Linked DNA regions of Struthio camelus. The protein of the gene in region 1 purifies or fractionates together with the protein of each later gene. This does not show direct contact. Links are inferred from orthologs where the notes say so. Each region holds a gene or a part of one and is shown in the gene's direction. Other genes may lie near its edges.

Region 1 (7,161 bases):
TGGTTACAGAGCTAGGCTACTGTGACAGAAACTCTAACTTAATTTCCTTTCTCAAACTTGGAAAACTGGCCCCCTTTTTCTTTTTGGTCAGTGAATCTTCAAACTATTTCCACAGGGTTTTAAACTAAAGCCTTTCTAGCAATTATCTAACGAAATGTTGAGTTTTGATGTCTTTGCATTTGAGTTCCATGGCTGTCTTCATTAGCAAGTAATTTAGTGCCATAGGAGCAGATTGGTAGATTGCAGCAGTAGGTACTTAAGCCCCTGCAACTACACTATATGCAGTTTGGGGAGGTTTAGTTCAATGTGGGCCTGTCTGGTCCCCTGGACTGAATGTCCCCACAACACATGTGACTGCAATTGTAGGCTGGGACCCTTGTGTCTGTATTAGGAGGTGGAGAGTGTTTGGTATGTATAGAGCAGAGCTTCCAGTTCAGTTTGCTCTAAAAGGCACCTGGAATGCACACAACAAAATCTGCTCTACGAACTGGATAAATAACCGGTATGTAGCAACAGTCGGAGAATTCACTTTGAGAATGAACCAAATTCCTTTGAACCAAGAAGCTAATGTGACCATAGTTTATAGCACCCTTCATTTCAACAAGTTTTGTAAGGTGGGAAAATAATCTTGGGAAGATTATGCATATTTTATGATTGGAGAAACTGAATTTGCATGAATTTTAGCAACTTGCCAAACCAAGTTTTGGCAGAACTGGGAACTCAAGGACTTTAACCCCTCAGCTATGCTGCCTCTGCTCTCAGATTACCATGCAATAACCCTAGAGCTTTTATATACCTGAGAGCATATGGAGATCAAGGTCCTTCTGCGTTACAGCTTCATAAAACAGCTTAAAAAAAAAAAAGACTAGGAATACAATACTGGAGAGAGTACTAGTTAACAAGAACTAGTAGGAATAAATAGACGAAAGGGAACATTTGGTACGACCTTGCAAGGCTTGTCAAAGAAATTGTAAGTACAGCTCTTTCAGCACAAGTCACCTCCTCCCCTCCTCCCCTTGTTTTAAACCCTACTTTGTCAAGCCTGGATGATGTATTTTCCTCCCCACATAAGATGTTTCTCCCTGTTCTTCTTCACCCACTATGCCCGTTTCTTTTCCTAGGAACTTCATTGAGTTTTGGTTGAGAGCATCTGAGAGAACATGACTATCTCTCAATATGTTGTATGGGATTGATTTCATTTAGCCCACTATAGCTACTCTGTCACATCGCAATTGTTTTCAATTTTCTGTTTTTCTGCACATTCTAATCCACGTGGGATTAACCCTATGAAGGTTTAAAAAGCGTAGAAAGGTCTATTAAAAGCTTTTAAAAACCGATCAGCTAACGTCATTGCAATTCTTCATTGCAGATTTACGAGGGAACTTCTCAGATTCAAAGGATGATCATAGCTCGTGAACATGTTGGCAAATTTAAGGTTTAAAGAAAGGTATAGAGTGTGTGTGGCCCCGCTGTCACGTTCTGTGTTCTCAGAAGAAGACAATTTTAATGCATTTCTCAATACAATTAAAAAGGTGTGGGAAAAAATAATTTTCCTTCAAAATCGTACTCTTTTGTACGTTGTTAAGCACTAATTTAGTATCCCCCACTCTCTCCCTAACAAAGTTGGCATTTTCCAAACATGTCTGAATTCCAAAGTGATTGTTTGTCTTTTGTCTTTCCCCACTTAGGCTTTTTCATTCAAGCCTTTGGCTTTCGGTGGGGGAAGAGGTAAAAACCTTCCCTGTAAAATTTACATTAAAAAAGTGAACAGAATTCAGAAATATGTTTATTGCCTGGGAAGCCATTCCACATGTAACAAGTAATTTGATTTTAGGAACTTCTATATTATTTATAATGACACAGATTTGCTTCTACTGAGATAAATTATAGCTTTGTCATTGGAGTTCAGGTGGATATCAAATTAATAACTCTCAGGAACACAACTACTTTAAAAAGCTATTCTGATTCTTCAGGGATCACACTTTGTAGCATATTGTGTCCAGGTCATCACATGCTGTAATAAATATTCTAACACAGCGGTTTTGGGGGTTTTCAAAACTCACATCTTTTGAATTTCAAAATGAATACATACTAAGTTCTGGACCATTCAAAAACAAATATATATTCCCATAAAGTACAACACAGATAATTGTTATTTTTCTGAAACAGTGGCAGAATTACCACTTGTGGAGTGTCTGCATATCGCTTGCCTCCATGAGTCCGTATGAACAAAAACTAGTTTTTGTTTTCAAAAGATAAAGTATAATAGGGCTTCTTTCCAGTGACTTACCATATTATTCACCTGAGTCCAGCACTGACAGAAATTTTCGTGCAATGCTTTTATCTCTGTGCCTCAGAGAAATCTGTTACATTTATGAAGAAAATACTTGTTTTCTTGTGCCTTAAGTAAGACTTCTTATTTATGGCTGAATGCTAAGGACAGCTTTTTGAGAAACACAGTTACGTACTTGTGTCACAGTAGGAAAAAAAGAGCGTCATTCAATTTGAAAAACATTTTCATTTAACTGAGCTCGTGTGAAATAACCTCTAGGAAACTATGCCATACATTCAAGTACAATAGCTCTCTTCTAAACTTGGATATTACCTCAAAAGTTCTAATTCGAAAAGGGCAAAAATTGAGACTATCACAACACAATGTTTTTTCACATTAAAATTAGGCGGCCAGAAGTTATTTCTGGCAGTCACTGCTGAATGCTAATAAAAACCTATTTTCAAGTGGAAAGATGTGGTTGTTTTTATTCCCTTTGCTTGTGACATCATTTCAGTTTTATTTCAGGTGAGTTCAATATCTGAAATATGTTAATAGTTACACTGCAGTTCCTACTGGAGTATTGTGCATACCAGAAACTACTGGTGAAACTGGCCGTTGTAATTTAAAAGAGCAGCTGAGCAGCCTTTCCAGTTCAACAGTATGAAGGTCTGCGTTGCTACTGCCTTTATGTGTAGCTGTTGTGAGGATCTAGATACCGTCCAGTAGGAACAAAATATCAACTACAGAGATTGTAACCGCTTACTTGCAAGTGTAGTAGTGTAAATGTTCAGTAAGGCCGATTCACTTTCGCTTGAAATGTGTAGCTTTCCCTTAAGAATGATTTACATATGTTGTTTATTCCAAATCCAGTATATTTAAACCTATTAATGCTTTCCATCAGTATATACTTAAGTAAAGTTGCAGCAAAAACAGCTGAGAAGAGCAATTTCTGTGACATATTTTAGCTTGGATAGATCATTGTGCTGTCAGAATGCCCATTTCCTGGACTGCTTGGACAACTTAATTTGCAGTTTCTCACCAGAATCTCCTTGTTTCACTGTGGTCTCTTTCATCCATCATCGGGATTTAGCGTAGGATGGTACAACTAGCGTTATCAGGTGTGAGCTTTGCGATGCTATTTCTCAGGTAGGCCATCTGGGGAATTAGTATGTTCTTCAATAACATGATCCTTTAAATAAACTGTTATAATCATGTAAATTACCATCTTATTTACCTGCAGGCAGATCAATAATGCAACATCCTGGATAGGGATTTCAAAGACGACCTCGTTTTTGACCGCTCTGTGTAAGTCAGAATTATTGCACATAAATGTTCTTGTATAGTCTCAAAACCGTGTTCCAGCGCGGTAGGGGTCTGTGCCCCACGGGTGCCAGAGGTCTATGCTGAGGATTAATAGCGTAATCACAGCAAACAGCTGTAGTTGGGGAGCAAAGGTTTTTCTTTTTGAAAGCAAGGAGGACGGTTACCCCTGCCGTTCTGCAGCGACATTCTTGGACCTGCTTTTTCATAGAAGTGAGGTGGCAGAAGGAAGCGGAGGCTATTTTTAGTGGCCGTCCTGCTTGTTGTGATGCAAGAAAGCCCACAGTTGAAATTACGATAAATTTGCTCCTTCCGCTGCTTCCTGACGACCCGGGGCTGCCGCAAGCCCGAGCGGGACCGGGCTGCGCCGATCCCGCCGCGGGGGCGGGGCGGGGCGGGGCGGGGCCAGGGCGGGGCGGGGGGGCGGGGCGGGGCCAGGGCGGGGCGGGGCGCGGGGGCCGGGCCCGGCGGGGCGGGGCGCGGGGGCGGGGCCCGGCAGGCGGGGGGCGGGCAGCCACGGCGGGCGCTACTTGTTGCCCCGCCCCGCCGCTGCGCGCTCTTTCCGGCGAGGACGGCGAAGATGGTGGGTGGCGACCGCGCGCGGCGGGGAGGCGGCCGGGCCCGGCCGCTCCTTCGGGGCCCGGAGCGGGTGTCCGGCCCGGCCCGGCCCGGCCCGGCGGGCGGCCCGGGGCCCGGGGCGGGTGTCCGGCCCGGCGCGGCCCGGCCCGGCGGGCGGCCCGGGGCCCGGGGCGGGTGTCCGGCCCGGCCGCTCCTTCGGGGCCCGGCCCGGCCGCTCCTTCGGGGCCCGGCCCGGCCGCTCCTTCGGGGCCCGGCCCGGCCGCTCCTTCGGGGCCCGGCGGGCTGGGCTGGGCTGGGCTCGGAAGCCGGCGCGGCTCGGCGGGTGGCCGTAGCGACATGGCGGCGCTGGCGCCGCCCGCTGTCGGCGGCGCGGCTCCGCATGTGGCGGAGCGGGGGAGGCGGCGGGCCGTGGCCGCTGCCGCTGGCTCGTTGGCGCCGGCCGCGGCCTTACGGAAGGGTTGCGTTCCCTTTGCCAGGGAAGGGTTTATCCAGACTGAGAAATGACAACGTGAGATGAAATTTGTCCTCTGTTCAAAATCTGCAAAAAACCGCCAGCAAGCCTCCTCTCCCGTTCAGTTATCGTTACTAGTGTTGGCTAAGTTAAACCTAGGTACTAAAAATCTCTTTGAGTTCCCAATACAGCTGAAATTTTGTTGGTACTTTTTAAAGGGGACGCCGCAAAAGGATGTTATAATAAAACCTGATGCCCCAAGCACACTGCTTTTGGAGAAACATGCAGACTACATAGCTTCTTACGGAACAAAGAAAGACGATTATGTAGGTATCAGTTTGCTTCAGTACTGCTGTGGCTTTAATAATAGCAGTAATTACTGTTATTTGCATGTTTAAAGTTAGGGGTTGGATAGGTGCTCACAAGTGAATTCCTTCTTGCCCTTCAATCCGAATTGGAGTATAAAAGGAAGATGGCTTCCTTCATTTTGCCAGGTCTGTGATGAGTTTTGGCATGTATTATCTGAGCACAAATTTGAAGATTATCACTTTAGCTCTAGAATTACTCTGAGACCTGGGAAATGAACTACTTTTGCCTCTTCATCCACTAGAATGCATAAGGAGTATAGGTTTATTTTCCTGTGGCTCTCTTATAAGATGCCATGCTTTTATCTGCTGTACTGAGTCTCACCTCAGAACTGCTTCTTGCTTCCTAGGCTTAATAAACACTGCAAGTAGTGTCCATTTTATGTAGTTATCAGGTGTAGCTAATCACAATTGGACTCCAGTTCTGGCAGGTGAAAAATGTGAATAACTGCTTATGTTTGAGGGGGAAAAAATGTTGCAGGTATCCTTATTGGCCACCAATGAACTCAAGCGCTGTTGCTTAAGGTGGTTTTTCCTGTCCTTGGAACATAGGAGTTATAAGTACTGCACGAAGAAAATCGTACTTTGCAGATAGTTCAGGTGATCAGTTCAGGGGGTGGGCGTATATATAAGATATCGTATATGAAAATTCACTTCTTCCTGAAGCTTTAAGGTTGCAGCAGTTTTGACACTAGCAGTAAGATTCATTAAGTGTCACTGTTGTTTTTGAGACCTGTTGGGGTGGTGGTTGAGTAGAAGTTTGGGAGTCAAGACAATAACTGGTGATCTGAACTGAATTAGTGACTTACTACTTGCATGTGTTTCACTTGATGTTGAGTTTGATACTTTTAAACTGGAAAATACAAGGAAATGTACTGTGTAGAAATAGGTGTGCACATGCACCTGTATGTGTATATACACGCATGCATACAGTATATAATTTATAAGTGGTTAATAAACACTAAGCTGTTAGTGCAATGGAGAATACTTGACATGTTAGAAACTGCTTATAGATATTAACTAATATATTTTCATTGTTCTAACTTGATGATGTGCTTACCTGATTAAGGACTAAAATATTGTACTATTTAGGAGTACTGTATGTCAGAGTATTTGAGGATGAGTGGTGTTTACTGGGGGCTGACGGTAATGGATCTCATGGGACAGCTGCACCGAATGAACAAAGAAGAAATTCTGGCATTCATCAAATCGTGTCAACATGAATGTGGTGGTATAAGTGCCAGCACAGGTCATGATCCTCATCTTCTGTATACCCTCAGTGCTGTGCAGGTAAATGGAACAGGGTAATGGTGGAAACAACTGTTTGTAATAAATAAATGATTTTGATGATTGCAGATTTACAAACCGGGTACTTAAACTATTAGAAACTAATGGCAAAAACTATTTCAGTACACTGTAAAAAAAATCTAATGAACAAAACTTTAGAATTTAGCTGTGTCATTTCCTAAAAAAAGTGGTGAGGTGTGGGAATTTGTGCTTTTAATGTTCATTTAATGGTGACTTTGTTTCTATGCTGGTTAAATTTTGTAACAGTCTTGAAATGTTTCTTAGCTACATGTTTTACTGGAAGTTTCTAGACAATTGCCTTTGGATTTTCGAAATTCTTCTTAGGGTACATTGAGCTGAAAGATCTGTATGACCAGAATAAGAAAAAAATAATTAAATTTGCTTTTATACACGTGCACACACAGTGTGTGCGTGTGCATGTATACCTATATATAAAAGAAATGTTACAGCAGCTAGTTTATATTGTATCCTTCAAACATTCTGGGGGGGAGGGTAAAAAAAAAAAAAAAAAAAAGTACCAGTCTTTTGGGCATTTTGTTTGGTGTGTAGTCTTCCCCAGAGGAAAAGGAATTATTCTCAAACTTATTTTTCCTCATAACTTTCTCCATTTCAGTTGTAATTTCATGCCTTCTTACTTCTTAATTTCTCTTAGGTTCTTCTTTAATTCCTTTTCTTTTATTCTTATGCAAAACACGGTGGAAAGCAATACCCAAAGGCTTAAATGCTTCTAAACGATTGCTTGATTCATCACAATTTATCCCTAATCCCATCTCAGGGAAGAAGTATTTAAATGGTGTTACAAATGATTACGTCCTGTTTGAGGAAGAAAGCACGTTGGATTTGAGGTGTTGGATTTGAGGTGTTGG
Region 2 (7,616 bases), on another chromosome or scaffold:
TGAGACCAGCGCCCGAGTGCGCTAGGAGCTGCCGGACCCCGAGGAGCCGGTCCCTGTCCTGCAGCTTACATGCTAAATACCTTCAGGCACAATAAGTGCATTAGCAAAACCTCTGGAAGAGGTGAAGAAATGACACTAGGTCTTAACCTAGTTTTGCATACATTGACACACATTATGCGCCCAGCTAGATGGTTTTCATTGGGCAACTTAGGTGAAATCCAGGCTACCCCTTCTGGGTATCTACCCGGTCGTCTTTGCTCAGCAGTTTGCTGCAGTCATCCTGGCAGAGAAGAGTCTGTTTTATAGTTTTAACACCGTGAGTCTCATCCAGGAGCCAGTCATTAATTACAGCGCGGACAGCCCGAAAGCGGCACCGGCGGCAGCAGGGCTGAGCTCACGCAGTGGCCCGGACTGGGCCGGGGAGGCTCCGGCTGGCAGTGAGGATGGCGCAATCCCACGCTGCTGAAGTCACCCGGCCGCAGGATGCTCGGGACGCTCTCACCGGCGCCCAGGGCTCGGCCGTGCTCCCCTCTGCTCTTTCCCTGGGCTGGCTGTGCAGGGCAGCGCCCTGCTGCAGGACCTAGTGCTGGGCAGGAGCTGTCTCTCACCGTCACAAGAGGGATTGCAATTAATCCTGGCCCTCGCTCATGCCGTCTGTGCGTTCCTCCAACGCCGCTGCGCGATCCGTGTCTTTGCAGGTCAATTTAGTAGGAGCCGGCTTTATTGCTGCTGGCTGCAGGCACGGCACGCTGCGGCCGAGCAGCACCAGCAGCAGTCCAGCGCTGCCCGGGCGCATCTGGGAGGTTTGTTTCGGGGCGGCGAGCAGCAGCGTGGCTGGAGCCCTGGGCCTTTCAAGCACGCTTGGCAGGCGCCGGGGAGAGCGCGGCAGCAGAGATTAAACAAGGCCTCCAGCCTGGGATGTGCTGCACCTTGCAGGTGCCGAGACGGCTGGAGTGAGGCAGCAGCGAACGGGAGTCATCGGCACACGGTGACTCTACGTAGCTTGCTCCTGGCTTGGCTGTTTATGGAAGATGCAGCTATTCCCTCCTTGAGTTTCGAAACCTTTTACACCGCTAGGTACTGTTGTACATCCAGCTATGTGGCGACACGCAGGATGAAGGGAACGACTCGCTGCAAGGGTAATAGACAACAGGGAACACTTTGAGAGAGACCTTTTTTGGTGGGATGTAAACAGGTAAGGCCAGCCATGAAGTTGGGCGCTAAACCTCCAGGAATCTAAACTGGCATTGATTATACACTGAGGATCTGGAGGGAAAAAAAGAGTTGGTAATCCTACATTACGAACTGCACTGCCCCATCCATCCAAGAGCCAGTCGCTCTGGGTAGAGTCTGACCACATCAAAACATATTTGGTTTTCCTTGGTTCGCCCCCTCATTGTGCTCTCTGCCCCACTTTCTTTCCCTCCACCCATTGGTAACACAATGGACCAGCAGTGCCACAAAGGCAGGCACAGAATGAACCTAAGTGACCGTGTAATCTTATTATTGTAACCCTCATCCTCCCTTTCCCCTTTTCTCCCTCCTCCCCTTTGTCACTGTCACTTATTGTCATGGTTAAAATTAGACTGGAAACTCCTCTGCAAGGGACCGTATCTTTCTTTTCTTTATCCTGAGCACCTTCAATGCACTAGGTACTTTGCAACTGCTCGTGATTTATAATAAGGTTGAGGTAGGAGGCAGCCTGTTTTAATGCTCACCTCTTTACATCTTCGAGCTGATTCACCAGCCACATGAACATCTTCCATCCATGCACACATAACTCATGCCAGCAATTCACTTGACAAAACAATTTCAGAGGCAAAGGAAGGAGAGGTGTTATTCCTTACATGTAATAAAGACGAGTGACTCAAATTTGGTGTAACTTATGTAAGACTTGCTCTGACAGCTAGAAGCCCTCTCTGAGTTTTCCCCATAATGGACATAAATCCTTTTTGGAATGAAAGTGAAGAAAATAATGCCACTTACAAAAATAGCCACAAGCAGAGCCGTCTATACAGTACCTTAACTGCATCTCTGGAAGATGTTTTACCTTGACCAGGAAGCTCTCTACGGTCTGCTGGAAGCCCAGGAAGAGGCACAACACAGCCAGCAGCCTCTGCAGACTTGCAATCAAATAGGTGATACACGGAGGACAGAGGACAGGGACAAATCCCACCTATTACATATATCTGCTGAAATTCTGCAGACCGTGACAAGCAGCTATCTCGTACCCAGAAAGAAATGTGATCATGTTAGAGGGCGGCTTCTCGTAGGGCGAAGCACTTTGTGAAAACAATTAGGTTCTGAAGCGACTGAGGAACTTTGCTTTAAAAGAAAAACAGCTATTCGTTATTTTTAGTTACTTCCTGTAAACAATGGGGGAAATTCAGTGATGGGGGAAATTCAGAAAATGACAGGGGAAGTATTTTGTCTGGGAAATGCTAGGGATGGGCTGTAATATCTAATACTTTAGTTTGGCACTTTATTGAAGGTTATTTCAGCAGCTTTGCTCCTGTTCTCAATCCCTTACTGACATCTGGCGTTTGCTGACACCTCAGACCGTGTGTCAGGAGAGCGGGAACGATGATGCAGTTCAAGCCATCAAGCAACGCGGAGCCATAAAACACTAGTTTATTGTTGTAGAGAGTTACTGCTGATTCTGTAAGGCTTTTCATGCAAACAACTCTGAGCAAAAGAAAATAAAAGCAAAACGGAAAGCCTCTGTGCTGTTTACAGAACATCTGATAGTGTTAGGAAAGTACATGACAATCAAGCTATAAAATTTTGTGTCTTTTGCTGTAATTATGAAGGTCACAGGACAAAGATTGTAGGGAGAGCTATCTTTCATTAGACCAATTTATCTACAGCATGCCTTCAGGCATGTTAAATTATGATTATGTTACACCTCCTCCCTGCTAATCACTGTCTATTCCACAGGTTTAAGCCACCCGCCTCGCTCTTTCCCCTCCACACTAAGCACCTCTCCACCCCTCTCTTCCTCCCACTGTACCAATATCCAGAAAAAATCCACACTAAGCACCTCTCCACCCCTCTCTTCCTCCCACTGTACCAATATCCAGAAAAAACCAATACTTTGCTTCCTGCCTGGAGCCTCAGGGGTGAGTTTTGCTTCAGTAACAAGTGCTGAGTAAGAGCTGGCCAAAACATTCCTACAGACAACTGCGTTTCTGGAACTTATGCTGGGATTAAGAATGGTTTAGATAAAGGAAGATTCTAGTCTGAAAACAGAAATCGGGAGAAAGTTAATTCTTCACAACCTTTTATACACAAATAACTGTAAATAAGTTCCTAACATTGTCACTATTTAAAAGTCTGAAAACATGTGATGCTGTTTTTCCTCCTCTTTCATGCTGCCTTAATTTAATCTCTCTGGAAAGAGAAAGTGTGCGGGGGAGGGATGAATGGTAATAGAAAGTGATTTAAGAAATAAAGTAACATTTGCAACCCACAACTCCAGAACTAAATCATTCCTGTAAATACCCAGGTGACGCGGGAAGCCCAAAGGAGTTCCCCCCACCGGGCAGGAGCTGCCTTTGCCCTCCCAGGAGGAAGCTGACGGGACGATGAGACCTTCTGCACCAAGGCCAAGACCCAGCGCCGAGTGCCTCGGCGGGGCAGTGTCCCACGGGAGGCAGCCCGCGCCTGGCTGAGCCTCACCAGGGAGATGTCCCCTTGCTGGGCAGACGTCCCCTGACCAGGGAGACGTCCCCTGACCAGGGAGATGATCCTGCGCCAGGCCTAGGGAGATGTCCCCTCATCAGGGAGACGTCTCCTTGATGGGGAGATGTCCCCTCACCAGGGAGATGACTCCTCACAAGGCCTGGGGAGATGTCCCTTCACCAGGCCCCACGGAGACATCCCCTTGCTGGTCAAATGTCCCCTCACCAGAGAGACATCTCTTCACTGGGCCCCACGGAGACTTCCCTTGACCAGAGAGAGGTCCCTGACCAGGGAGAGGTTCCCCTCACCAGGCCCCATGGAGACATCCCCTCACCAGGGAGATGTCCCCTCACTGGCCCCACTCCTCGCACCAGGCTGCGCCACTGCGTCCCTCCCAGGCCCGGCACGAGGGGACACTCGGCCTCGGCAGGCACGCAGGAGGCTGGGACCCTGGTGGTGGCCACAGAGCCCAGGGACCACCCACCCCTCTGCCCCGGGGCCAGGCCGAGCGGCTCCCTCCGGCCTGCCCGGACGGGTGTGGAGGGGGCTGGGCAGCGGCCATGTTTGCCTTCTACCCGCCCTGCAAGGTAAGGCAACAGGAGGACGCCTCGGAGCCACACGCTAACCGGTCCCCCGGAAGAGGCAGCAAGACGCCTCGGTGCCACTCGCTAACCCGTCCCCCGGAAGAGGCAGCAAGACGCCTCGGTGCCACACGCTAACCCGCCCCCCAGAGGAAGCGGCAAGACGCCTCGGTGCCACTCGCTAACCCGTCCCCCGCGCGTGTCCCCGCCCTTCGCGGCCGGGCCCTGCTTCCGCGGGCAGTGACGCAGCACCTCCCTCCGGCCGGTGCGGCGCTATTTGGCGTCCCCCCGGCTTAGCCTCCCCCCGGCACGGCGCGGCCGCGTAGCTCCCAGCCCGGATGTGACCCGGGAAAGCGGGCGGGGAGGGGCAGGCTTCCGGGTGCCTCAGCATAACCCTACCGGGCGGGGGCGGCGGCTGCCGGGCGGTTCCCGAGGCGGAGGCGAGGCGCGATGGAGTGAGGCGGTGCGGTAAGGCGCGGAGCGGGGCGGCGGGTCAGGCCGGACCGGACCGGACCGGACCGGACCGGACCATAACGGCTATCTCTTCCCTCCCCTCTCAGGACGGCGCCGGAGCAGCTGGGCCTCGCCCTTCTCCTCAGGCGGGCCGGGGCTATGCGAGGGCCGCGCTGCCGCCTGCCCTAGGCCCGCGCCGCGGCGGCGGGCCCGGCGGGGGAGCGGCGAGCGGCAGCGGGGCCTCATGCGGGAGTACAAGGTGGTGGTGCTGGGCAGCGGCGGCGTGGGGAAGTCGGCCCTGACGGTGCAGTTCGTCACCGGCACCTTCATCGAGAAGTATGACCCCACCATCGAGGACTTCTACCGCAAGGAGATCGAGGTGGACTCGTCCCCGTCGGTGCTGGAGATCCTCGACACGGCCGGCACCGAGCAGTTCGCCTCCATGCGCGACCTCTACATCAAAAACGGCCAGGGCTTCATCCTCGTCTACAGCCTGGTCAACCAGCAGTCCTTCCAGGTAACCGCTGCCCCGGCCCCTGCCGAGCGCGGCGGCCGAGAGGAAGTTTCAGGCTTAGCTTCCCCCCACCCCCTTTCCGGAAAGACAAAAGCGAAAATGTCTCCTCAAAAAGTACTTCCACGAACCGCCTTTCCTAGTGGAAAAGTGCTTGCTCGGCAGGTACTTATCAGGGTGCCGCCGCTGTTACATCCCACGCAGTGTGGGAGAACAGTCGCCAGCTCCCACTTCCCCAATAGAAACGCTGCTGGCAATCCCCTTTTATTAAGAAATCGCTCGATATTAAAATCCAGACTTCCCTTTTTGCTGAAGAGGAGTGTTTCTTTGCTTGATCTTAGGGAGCGGGGCATGTGCTCTTCAGCTTTGACTTAAATAAGCTCTGATTTCCCCCCCCACACACACACACCCCGAAACCCCCCATATTCCAGTGTAAGCTCTATGCTTTTGCAGTGTAGGTGGTGTGCTAGAGAAGAGAAGGAGGCCGTATGTGATAACTTGTGGATCTGGATTCCTTTTGTACTATTAAAACTGTTTCAAAAAAAAAAACCCAAAACTTATCAGCCAGTAACTGGTTTAAGCTGCCCCTAGGAATGTCTTTATTTCTGAGGAATAACTGGGTTTAGCAGCCATGCATGTAATGCAGGGATTTGCAGCTTCTGCGTTGGCTTCAGTTGCTGGTTTGGGTGTATTCCAGCTGCTTGGCAAAACCTTGCACACCCCCACTGAAGCAGAATGTTTGCTTCTGCTGAAGGCTAAGCTTTATCTTAGTAGAGGCCTCAATATAGTTTCAGTGCAAGCTGAAGGCATACTTTTCTTTGGAAAACAACAGCAGTGGCATTGGGATGCTTCTCCCCTCATTTTCACTTATTTTGGAACCTGAGTGTTCCCCATTATTCAAGGAATAGGCACACCGTTAGTAATCCACCCTGTTAATATTTAATTAGTCTTGTCTGTCTGTATGTTTACTCCATAGCTGTTAGGTGTAAACCACTCTCCACAGTTCTTTTAAGCAGTGGCAACTTCAAACACTCAATTGCTTTGTCTCAAAACTATGCAAGAATCTGTAGAGGTGAGTCCTGCTGATAGTAACTTAAAACATTCAGAAGGGCAGAGGAGGCTGACTCAAACTTTAAACGGTAAACTCCTGATGTTAGTTCAGACTTGAATAAATGCATCTCTAGGTAATAAAACCTCCTTATAGCATCTAATTTGCTTACTTACATGTGACTAAATGTGTTTACAATGAATCAACTTAAGCGTTCCAGAAGCGAGAAGACTGTTCGCTAGCTTCCTCAAGCTGTAAGCCAAGCACAGACTTCCTAAATGATTGTGTAGTAATACACGTATCGCTACAAATGTTACAAATCTGCTGGCATTTAGATTTGAGACAAAATTCTCAGCAGAACAGAGATCTATCTGCCTTGAAACCAGTCGTACTGTATCTTCCTCTAGCTGAACCAAAACTTTCAGAATACAGTAGTAACTACATATATACACATTTATAAAGTATGCATTCATATAAACCGGAAATATACTTTTATTATTATTATTAAAGATGGACAGTGAACTTCCTCTGCCTGAGTTCTAGATCCACATGGATATGAATTTAAGAAATCTTCTAAAGTATTTTCAGTTGCCTGTAAGGGTTATTAAAATGCGTTTCTGTAGTGGCTGAGGCAGTTTCATGTGATTACTTATGCATACTAACCAGTCTGATTGTTTGATCAGGACATCAAGCCAATGAGGGACCAGATTGTTCGGGTGAAGAGATACGAGAAAGTTCCTCTGATCCTAGTGGGGAATAAAGTGGATCTGGAGTCGGAGAGGGAGGTCTTATCTGCAGAAGGCAGAGCTCTGGCTCAGGAATGGGGCTGTCCCTTCATGGAGACATCAGCCAAGAGCAAAACAATGGTGGATGAACTGTTTGCTGAGATCGTCAGACAAATGAACTATGCCTCCCTGCCTGAAAAACAAGATCAGTGTTGTACAACTTGCATCGTCCAGTGAGAAAAATTAAGAAAAACCTCAATCATGGCCATACAGAGCAGGTTGGTTGAACAGTCATAACTGAGGTGCATGATCATGCTGTTTAAGTAAGCAGATAAAGTGGGACAGAGAGTCTGAAATTAAGTAGTCTAACCTGGAGGTGGCTTTCCTCTGAAAGAGATGCAAGCTTGTGGATTCAGTTGCGAATGCGTACTTGAGTCAAATGGTCGTCTTGCATTACTTGGGTAGGGTTAATCAGGGAACGTTGCCTTTACCTGTAGTAACTTTACAATGCGGCAGAGTGTATGACCTCATCTGTCCCTATTTTGACTGACAGTGCTGTATTTGACCTAACCTTATCCTTAGTAATGTGTTGGGATGTTGCAGTAGGATTCACCATT

Evidence for each region. Proteins that work in one complex are often made in the same cells at the same time.
Region 2: the proteins of RABGGTB (region 1) and RAP2C purify together in Homo sapiens (co-immunoprecipitation; 3 studies listed by BioGRID and IntAct, counting the BioPlex papers as one, with this or other methods). This does not show direct contact. The link is inferred for Struthio camelus from reciprocal best matches to the Homo sapiens genes RABGGTB and RAP2C.

What each region holds. Positions count from the first base shown.
Region 1 is NC_090949.1:39,135,481-39,142,641, forward strand, and holds the start of RABGGTB (geranylgeranyl transferase type-2 subunit beta), read left to right. Parts: upstream 1-4,085; 5' UTR 4,086-4,172; coding exon 4,173-4,175; intron 4,176-4,840; coding exon 4,841-4,948; intron 4,949-5,115; exon of another isoform or gene 5,116-5,198; intron 5,199-6,079; coding exon 6,080-6,277; intron 6,278-7,161. Other genes in the region: ACADM (medium-chain specific acyl-CoA dehydrogenase, mitochondrial), read left to right, coding at 1,370-1,441. UniProt on the Homo sapiens protein: Catalyzes the transfer of a geranylgeranyl moiety from geranylgeranyl diphosphate to both cysteines of Rab proteins with the C-terminal sequence -XXCC, -XCXC and -CCXX, such as RAB1A, RAB3A, RAB5A and RAB7A.
Region 2 is NC_090952.1:24,215,373-24,222,988, forward strand, and holds the start of RAP2C (ras-related protein Rap-2c), read left to right. Parts: upstream 1-4,597; 5' UTR 4,598-4,730; intron 4,731-4,822; 5' UTR 4,823-4,959; coding exon 4,960-5,232; intron 5,233-6,957; coding exon 6,958-7,236; 3' UTR 7,237-7,277; intron 7,278-7,616. UniProt on the Homo sapiens protein: Small GTP-binding protein which cycles between a GDP-bound inactive and a GTP-bound active form. May play a role in cytoskeletal rearrangements and regulate cell spreading through activation of the effector TNIK.